Callithrix jacchus: one gene and its partner. The protein of the gene in region 1 interacts with the protein of each later gene in a pairwise test. Links are inferred from orthologs where the notes say so. Each region holds a gene or a part of one and is shown in the gene's direction. Other genes may lie near its edges.

Region 1 (4,534 bases):
TCTAGTAACTAGCATGCGCCTGTTAAAACCTAAGTCAGATGGTGACATTCTTCTCTTCTGCTCAAGCCCTCCAGTAGTTTTCCATCTCACAAAACAACCCTTTTCTTTCTCAACCCATTTCCCACTATCCCTTTCACTCACCTTGCCGCAGACATATCAGCCTGTTTGCCATACTTTAAATCTGCCAAACACAATCCTGTCCCAGGACCTCTGCACATGCTTACCCTTCTATCTGGCCCTGCATATCTCCAGACATCTGTTTCCACTTCTCTTCATTCAGGTCTCTGCTCAAATGTAGCAGAGAGGCCTTCCCTATCCACTCCATAATCTTCATCACTGTGTTCCCCTGCCTGGCTTTTTCCTCGTAAAGCTTCTAACATCCTGGTATCACGTACTTCCTTATTAGTTCCTTTTCTGTCACCCTGCTTACATTTACAGTGTAAGTGCCATGTAAGCAGAGTCTTGGTTTCGTTCATTGCTCTAGCCCCACACTTGGACTGGCACCTGACATATAATGGATACTTAACAATATGTGAATTTCCGGGACTTTTCTGCCTTTGCCAGGATTTGGAGTTACCATCACTGCTGCTCCATGACATAGACATTACTGAATACACAAATAAAGGTGGTCCTGTGGAGTAAAGCTGGGTGAGCACTTCATGAAGGGAGACCTGCAGCACCACTACCAGCAGCAGAGAAGCGAAAAAGGTAGGACCACAAAAGAGCCCTCTGGGTTTGGTGGGAAAGGAGGACATCTCAGGGCCCAGAAGGGCCAGCCAGGATGGCTTTCAGAAGTTAGTGGGACACAAAGATCACTCCTGCTTAACCTTCTGGTTTCCAAGAGGGGAGATCCAGGCAGGGATGTATGGTCAATGGAGATTCCTACCCAGATTGCCCAGAGGACTGTGTGAACTGCAGATTCAGAAAGAGGCTGAGAGGCCCCCATGGGGGTGGTGAGTATGCTGAGGCTGGTATGCTGAGATCCCATATCCCATGGGGTGGTTGCCTCCTCCTGTTTCTAGCCTTTCCAGTGAGGCTGTAGGAAAGAGACACAGCTGGGGCCTGGAGACTGTGTTCGACTCTGTCTGGGCTTGGTGCCATGCACCAGTTGTAAGCTTGCAGGACATAGCATCCAACTCTGAAAGCCCTGTTGTTCGCATAACCCTACACCACCGCCTGAGGGCTTCCATATCCTTGGTCTTTTCAGACTTTCATCCCCACCGCAATTACTCCAAGAAATTACTGTCATCCCCAAATCTGTAACTGGAAACTGAGGCTCAGGAAGGAGACACGACTTCTATAAAATCACAAAGTTGGGAAACTTGGAATATGGACTCAACTGATCTGCAAACGGAACTCTCAGAGACTTCACTCCGAGGTCAGATTCTCAGGCCAGGTCCTGAAGTTTGCGACCTTGGCGGAAGGCACTTTCCTTGACTCAGCACCCGCGGGTGAGGTGGAACCAAGCCCTGAGCAGAAGAGTTTTCTTCCCAGATGAAGAGGCAGCTCAGCCTAGACCCCAGGCCTGGCACTGGACACCCCTGCTGTGGAAACGTGCAGATTGAGATGAACGAGATCCTAACCTGCGCAGGATCAGAGTTTGGAGAGATTGGCGCGAAGCTTTAGCAGCAATGCCCGATTCCTACATAGCCGCAGCTGGGTTTCCAAGCTTCTAGGGAAGAAGGACTGGGCCCAAGAGCCCCTGAGCAACTCCCAGGTCGGGAACTGGTGGAGTATCAGAGCCTCCACGACTCGTTTAAGTGGTCTCGCCCACTTAAACTCTCGGGGTCTCTCCGCCTGTTGCTGCGTGCGTTTCTCTGCCCCTGACCCTCTAAGCTTTCTGCTTTCTGCGTATCTCTCAGTCTCTTTCGGTCCCTCTCTCACCGTCTCACTCTCTCAGCTCTGTGCCCCCAGTGACTTGCCTCTCTCCAAATCTCTCGCGACCTGATTTCTACACCCGCTCTAACCCTGGATCCCCCACAAAGCAGGGGATAGAGGAGTACTCAACGTCAGCTCAGTGGTGAGTGCGCGCAGCCAACGTTTCCAGCGGACGCAGCAGTCGAGTGCTGGAGAGGTTTGAAATGGGCCTGCCTGGGAGCCAAGTGCAGCCGCCCGGGCTGCCGGTCGCTCCCTCCCTCCCTGCCCGGTAGGGGACGGAGCGCGCGCGCCAGTGTCGAGGGGCGGGCGGGCTGGCCACTCTGCAGCCCCCTGCGGCCACCCAGAGGACCCCCCCAAACCCCGCCCCGCTGTGTTTCTATTGGCCTCGGGCTCCCCCGCCCCCAGCTGCCCGCCTGGGCTCCGGGGCGTTTAGGCTACTACTGATAAATAGCCCAGGGCGCCAGGCGCGCAGCTAGGGGTGAGGAAGCCCTAGCGCGCTGCCTCCACTTTCCTTACTACAAATCAGGCGGGACGGGACAGGGAGGGGTGGGGACAGTTGGGTGTGCATTCAGACTTGCAGCCCTTTGCTATCTACAGCCGGTGCTCCCGAGCGGCAGAAAGTTCCGGTCACCCCCTCCCGCTTGGGTTGGGCGAAGCCAGGACCGTGCCGCGTCCCTGCCAGGATATGGAGCTACTGTCACCACCGCTCCGCGATGTAGACCTGACGGGCCCTGACGGCTCTCTCTGCTCATTTGCCACAACGGACGACTTCTATGACGACCCGTGTTTCGACTCCCCGGACCTGCGCTTCTTCGAGGACCTGGACCCGCGCCTGATGCACGTGGGCGCGCTCCTGAAACCTGAAGAGCACTCGCACTTCCCCGCGGCAGCGCACCCGGCCCCGGGCGAGCGTGAGGACGAGCATGTGCGCGCGCCCAGCGGGCACCACCAGGCGGGCCGGTGCCTACTGTGGGCCTGCAAGGCGTGCAAGCGCAAGACCACCAACGCCGACCGCCGCAAGGCCGCCACCATGCGCGAGCGGCGCCGCCTGAGCAAAGTAAACGAGGCCTTTGAGACACTCAAGCGCTGCACGTCGAGCAACCCGAATCAGCGGTTGCCCAAGGTGGAGATCCTGCGCAACGCCATCCGCTATATCGAGGGCCTGCAGGCTCTGCTGCGGGACCAGGACGCCGCGCCCCCTGGCGCCGGAGCCGCCTTCTACGCGCCAGGCCCTCTGCCCCCAGGCCGCAGCGGAGAGCACTACAGCGGCGACTCTGACGCGTCCAGTCCGCGCTCCAACTGCTCGGACGGCATGGTAAGGCCGGGACCCCAGGCGGGAGTAGAAGTGAGGGCGGCGCTTGGGACATCTGGGACGCGTTTCCGAGGGCAGGGAGCTATCCTTCCTGGAAGTTTGGGCCAGGATCCATCCCGAGAGAGGACCCCTGTGTCCTGGGCAGCTGTCACCGGGATAGCCTAATTGCTTTGGAAGCGTGCGGGCAAGCGTTTAAGCCGCCCCATTGGGGGCGCTATTGGAACACTGCAGCGTGGACTTGAAGATCTTTTTCTCTACTTATCCCTACTTCCAAAATGTAGAATTTTGCCCCCTTGGTGACCGTCCACCCTTGGTTTGGCTCTACATGTTGCAGACCTCATCTCCTACCCACCCTTATCCCCTAACCATGACAGATCTGGGCCGGGAACTCGAGACTGAGTCTAGAGTTAGGGAGGGGGCAGTACAGGGAGTGGTGTTCGGGTCCCGCGCCGTCCCGCCGGCCTGACTCAGTCGCCCTTGCTGTTTGCAGATGGACTACAGCGGCCCCCCAAGCGGCGCCCGGCGGCGGAACTGCTACGAAGGCGCCTACTACAGCGAGGCGCCCAGCGGTGGGTATTCCGGGTTTCGCCCTGCTCTCTCCTTCTCCCCACGTCCTCCTTGGAGCTGTCCTGGCTTCCCCCTATCTAGGACACCCCCACCCCCACTCACACACGCTTCTGTTCTGGGAGGTGGTGCAGGCGATGAAATACTAAGCAAGTAGCTCCCTCTCCTTTCAATCGTCCCGGACTCTGACAGGTCCTCAGTTTCCAATCTGTCTCAAAGCACCGGGCCCCGGGGTGGGAGGCTTGTTCGCGGCCCCACCCCTGCTTACTAACCGAGACCTCCCCGCGCAGAACCCAGGCCCGGGAAGAGTGTCGCGGTGTCGAGCTTAGACTGCCTGTCCAGCATCGTGGAGCGCATCTCCACCGAGAGCCCTGCGGCGCCCGCACTCCTGCTGGCCGAGGCGCCCCCGGAGTCGCCTCCGCGCGGGCCAGAGGCTGCCGCCCCGAGCGAGGGAGAGAGCGGCGACCCCACCCAGTCCCCGGACGACGCCCCGCAGTGCCCTGCGGGTGCGAACCCCAACCCGATCTACCAGGTGCTCTGAGGGGAGGGTGGCCACACACCCGCCCGAGGGATGGTGCCCCTAGGGTCCCTCGCGCCCAAAAGATTGAGCTTAAATGCCCCCTCCCAACAGTGCTTTAAAAGCGACCCTTCCCGAGGTGGGAGAGGCTGGAGAACTGAAGTTTTCCACCCCCCGCCCCCCAGGGCAAGGACATAGCGCGGTTTTTTCCCACGCAGCACCCTTCCTGGAGCGCCATTGCGATGGCCGCTCGGTGTTCCTCG
Region 2 (4,371 bases), on another chromosome or scaffold:
GGCCTCTAAGCCTGCCCCTTCCTCTTCCTTAAATGCAGAGGAGGTAGAGTTTGAGGCAGAAAGTAAGATTTGAATATTGCCTTTCCTGGGGTTGTCTAGTTTATTTTTAGAGAAAATATGATTTTCAAAACACAAAACTGACACAGTGTGGTCAAGACAGAATTCTAGATAAGCTAGACTTATGTGAGAATTGACAAGGTATTTGAGTAAATGGCTGCAAACTTTTTAATAGACTAAAAGAACGAGTTCTTAAAGATTTTCAGCCAAAAAAAAATACCTGAACCTCTATTCAGCACTAGTGCTGAAAAAATTCCAAACCTCATACATGACAGAGTATTTATTTTTTTTTTCATAAATAGTGCGAAGATGTCGGTCAATGGCTAGGACCACCTATCAGTCACAAAACCTTGGAACGCCTCTAGGTGTTGGAATGTGACACCAGAAATCACAATTCGTACATAATTAATCACATTACTTTGCCACCTACTCTGAAGGGCACAGACCGGCAGCCTTTCAAGGGCAGTGTATGTAAATGTAGTTTCAATATGCAAATTCTCCTAATGGTTTCCGATTAATACGATCATTAGAATAGCCCTGCCTCCTTTTTGAAAAGGAACCCTGAAAGCGCCCTGCCTGGGAGAGCTCCTTAGCGACCGACCGGCGAGGCTGGGCATGGTTTCCAATAAGAACTCATTCTCCTGAGCTTACAGTAATGCCTCCCGCGCTGCTCCGGGTTGCAAAAGCCCACACTAAACCTGTCGTCGAATGCGTGCGTGGGTGGTTTGTTTGTGTTAACATAACTTTTCCTTATCTGAAGAGACGAACTCACTCTACAAACGTGACTCTTCAGTGGCAACCTAATTTGCGTTTTCACTTTCTTCTGAAATGCTTTCTATCTTTCCTCACGCTCTCTCTCCGAGGGGTTGCAGTGAACTGAGGCTTCCCCGCTGCGGCGCTGAACTTGCCCCTGTCGCTGTGATTTTTAGGGCTGCCGACAGCTCCAAGGTGTGCAAGGCTTGGTCTGGGAACACCCCCACGGCGAAGGTCTTGCCTCGCCCTTAGAATTAGAATTAAGAATGTACATTTAGGCTCCCTGGGTCTGCCCCCTCCCCCCCACTCCTACTCCTCCTACCCCCTTTCCTCTCCCTCCTCCTCCCCCCTCCCATCCACCCCCTCCCTCCTCCTCCTCCTCCCCCTCCTCCCCCCCACTCTCCTTCTCCCCTTCTCCCCGCTCGCCCCGCGCTTTCTGTACTGTACTCTATTTACTGCCCAGCTGGGCTCGCGCCCCGCCCACCCCCCGGGCATTGGCTGCGAACGCGGAAGAACCGAGCCCTTGCCCCGCGCCCGCGCCCGCCAATGGAAGCGCCCGCTCGGCTTGATGGACGCTCCACCTTCCGCCAATGGGAACGAAGGGAAGCCCGAGCGTGTGGCCCCGGCGAGTGCTGATAAAAGCCGCCCCGCCGGGCTCGGGCTTCATTCTGAGCCGAGCCCAGAGCCAAGCGCAGCTAGCTCAGTAGGCGACGGCGGCGGCCTGAGCTTCAGGGCAGCCAGCTCCCTCCCGGTCTCGCCTTCCCTTGCGGCCAGCATGAAAGCCTTCAGTCCCGTGAGGTCTGTTAGGAAAAGCAGCCTGTCGGACCACAGCCTGGGCATCTCCCGGAGCAAAACCCCGGTGGACGACCCGATGAGCCTGCTGTACAACATGAACGACTGCTACTCCAAGCTCAAGGAGCTGGTGCCCAGCATCCCCCAGAACAAGAAGGTGAGCAAGATGGAAATCCTGCAGCACGTCATCGACTACATCTTGGACCTGCAGATCGCCCTGGACTCGCATCCCACTATTGTCAGCCTGCATCACCAGAGACCCGGGCAGAGCCAGACGTCCCGGACGCCGCTGACCACCCTCAACACGGATATCAGCATCCTGTCCCTGCAGGTAAGCCCTGCCCGGGGCCCCCGCCCCGCCGCCGCCGCACACTCCCGCGGTCGCCTGGGCTGTCACTAGGAGATCCGTAGCCCAGACAGTGACTTTCGCATGAGCGATTTAACTTTATTTTCTTAAAACGCTGCTGTAGACTGAGCCGTGCGTGAAATTGCTAGTAAGTTCTGACATGTGGATGTATCTGTCTTTGAATCTGAATTGGTACCATAAACGTGTTTAATGGAATTTGCTGGTCTGTGGACTACTTCAAAAACAAAAAAGCCTTTTCTACTCAACATTGTCTTAACCTCGTACCCTTTATCCTTTCTCTCCAGGCGTCTGAATTCCCTTCCGAGTTAATGTCAAATGACAGCAAGGCACTGTGTGGCTGAATATGCGGTGAGTGTTTGCCTGTGCCACCCGTGGGTAAACTGCCCCTCCGTGTGTGTGCGTGCGCGCGTGTGTTGCTTGTGTGAGGGTGCTTGTGTATCCATGAAACGTCTGATTTGGTAAGTGCATGCTTACTTCGCGGTGTCAACCGTACTGCATTCTCACTAGACGTTAAGGAGCCTGTAGCTCTGGGTACTCGAGATCACAGAACGTTTCCTTTAAAAGGAAATGATGCCAATAACTTACTACGAAGGCGGCCGAGGAACGTGTGTATCGGCTTTGTAGCAAATTCGGTGCCTTGGCTCTTCCTACGATTCCTCTGGTACTATGAGGTACTAACCTCCACTGTAATTAATCTTATCGCCACAAATTCCACAGTGATCCTCCTTCCCTAAAACTAGAGTCCTCTGGGATTCTCTGGGCTAGCACAGGATTGCTACCCTGTGCCTTAGAGCCTGTGATGTGGGATCCCAGACTTCCCTATCTGTTAACTAAAGGGCTGTTTTCAATCAAATAATTGTTACAAGAAGCAGACTGGCGCCTGTAGCACTGCTGTTGGAGATCCAAATAGGAGATTGAGTTGGGAAGTTTTTCCCTTGAGTCTCTGCTATTTTAATGTTTAATTTGCGCTGTCGAGGCGAGTGTGTGTGCTGCATCTGGACGCCAGGGTTTGCCCAATCTTTGAGTGTTTGGTTAAATGTTCAAACTGCGGCTTCCTCCCGGCGCCAGTCCGCCCGCCTCTGCCCTTCGGTTGCATTCTCTCAAACGTGCCTTTCTCTCCCAATCCTTTGCAGGTGTTCATGGCTTCTTTTTCTTTGCACAACAACAACACATCCACAGAATCTTTTAAGTGCTGAACTTATTTTTCAACCATTTCGCAAGGAGGACAACTTGAATGGACCTTTTTAAAAAGAAAAAAAAAAAATGGAAGGAAAACTAAGAATGATCATCTTCCCAGGGTGTTCTCTGACCTGGACTGTGATATTCGTTATTTATGAAAAAGACTTTTAAATGCCCTTTCTGCAGTCGGAAGGTTTTCTTTATATACTATTCCCACCATGGGGAGCGAAAACGTTAAAATCACAAGGAATTGCCCAATCTAAGCAGACTTTGCCTTTTTTCAAAGGTGGAGCGTGAATAGCAGAAGGATCCAGTATTCAGTCACTTAAATGAAGTCTTTTGGTCAGAAATTACCTTTTTGACACAAGCCTACTGAATGCTGTGTATATATTTATATATAAATATATCTATTGAGTGAAACCTTGTGAACTCTTTAATTAGAGTTTTCTTGTATAGTGGCAGAGATGTCTATTTCTGCATTAAAAAGTGTAATGATGTACTTATTCTTGCTAAACTTTTTATAAAAGTTTAGTTGTAAACTTAACCCTTTTATACAAAATAAATCAGTGTGTTTATTGAATGGTGATTGCCTGCTTTATTTCAGAGGACCAGTGCTTTGATTTTTATTATGCTATGTTATAACTGAACCCAAATAAATACAAGTTCAAATTTATGTAGACTGTATACGATTATAATAAAACATGTCTGAAGTCAGTACCTGAATTCCGAGTGGTTTTTAAGATCTCTCTGGCATTCCCTCCTCTCTCTCTCTCTCTCTCTCTCTCTCTCTCTCTCTCTCACACACACACACACACACACACACACAGTTTTCTTTATCCCCTTCTCCCTCATCCCCCCGCCCACCACCACCCCTGAAGCCTTTGCTTGTGTACAGAGAATCTCCTTATCAGATGTGTGGTGAGGCAGAGGGCTGAGTTCACAGGGACTGGGGAGGCTTTGGGCACAGAAGTGCCTCTTGAGTCCTCAAGGGAAAGCTTGGTTCTGTGCTTTAGGGCTGAGTTTAAAGCCAAGAATGAGGTGTGGTTGTGAGTACTGGGAGTGTGTGTGGCAGGGCTACCTGTCTGGGCATTAAAACGGTTCTCTGGAGTAAATGAAAGTAAATCGGGAGAAGAAAAGAGGCTGCACAGAATTCAGAACGTGGGAAATATATTCAGATTTAAGGGAAGGCAGAAACACCTGAGGGTTACTGTTTGCCCGGGGAA

The links.
Region 2: the proteins of MYOD1 (region 1) and ID2 interact in a two-hybrid assay, tested with the Homo sapiens proteins (2 studies listed by BioGRID). The link is inferred for Callithrix jacchus from reciprocal best matches to the Homo sapiens genes MYOD1 and ID2.

What each region holds. Positions count from the first base shown.
Region 1 is NC_133511.1:83,727,927-83,732,460, forward strand, and holds the start of MYOD1 (myoblast determination protein 1), read left to right. Parts: upstream 1-1,486; 5' UTR 1,487-1,717; intron 1,718-1,900; 5' UTR 1,901-2,020; intron 2,021-2,475; 5' UTR 2,476-2,563; coding exon 2,564-3,193; intron 3,194-3,680; coding exon 3,681-3,759; intron 3,760-4,044; coding exon 4,045-4,295; 3' UTR 4,296-4,534. UniProt on the Homo sapiens protein: Acts as a transcriptional activator that promotes transcription of muscle-specific target genes and plays a role in muscle differentiation. Together with MYF5 and MYOG, co-occupies muscle-specific gene promoter core region during myogenesis.
Region 2 is NC_133515.1:106,259,782-106,264,152, reverse strand, and holds ID2 (DNA-binding protein inhibitor ID-2), read left to right. Parts: upstream 1-1,475; 5' UTR 1,476-1,585; coding exon 1,586-1,933; intron 1,934-2,253; coding exon 2,254-2,310; 3' UTR 2,311-2,317; intron 2,318-3,102; 3' UTR 3,103-3,862; downstream 3,863-4,371. UniProt on the Homo sapiens protein: Transcriptional regulator (lacking a basic DNA binding domain) which negatively regulates the basic helix-loop-helix (bHLH) transcription factors by forming heterodimers and inhibiting their DNA binding and transcriptional activity.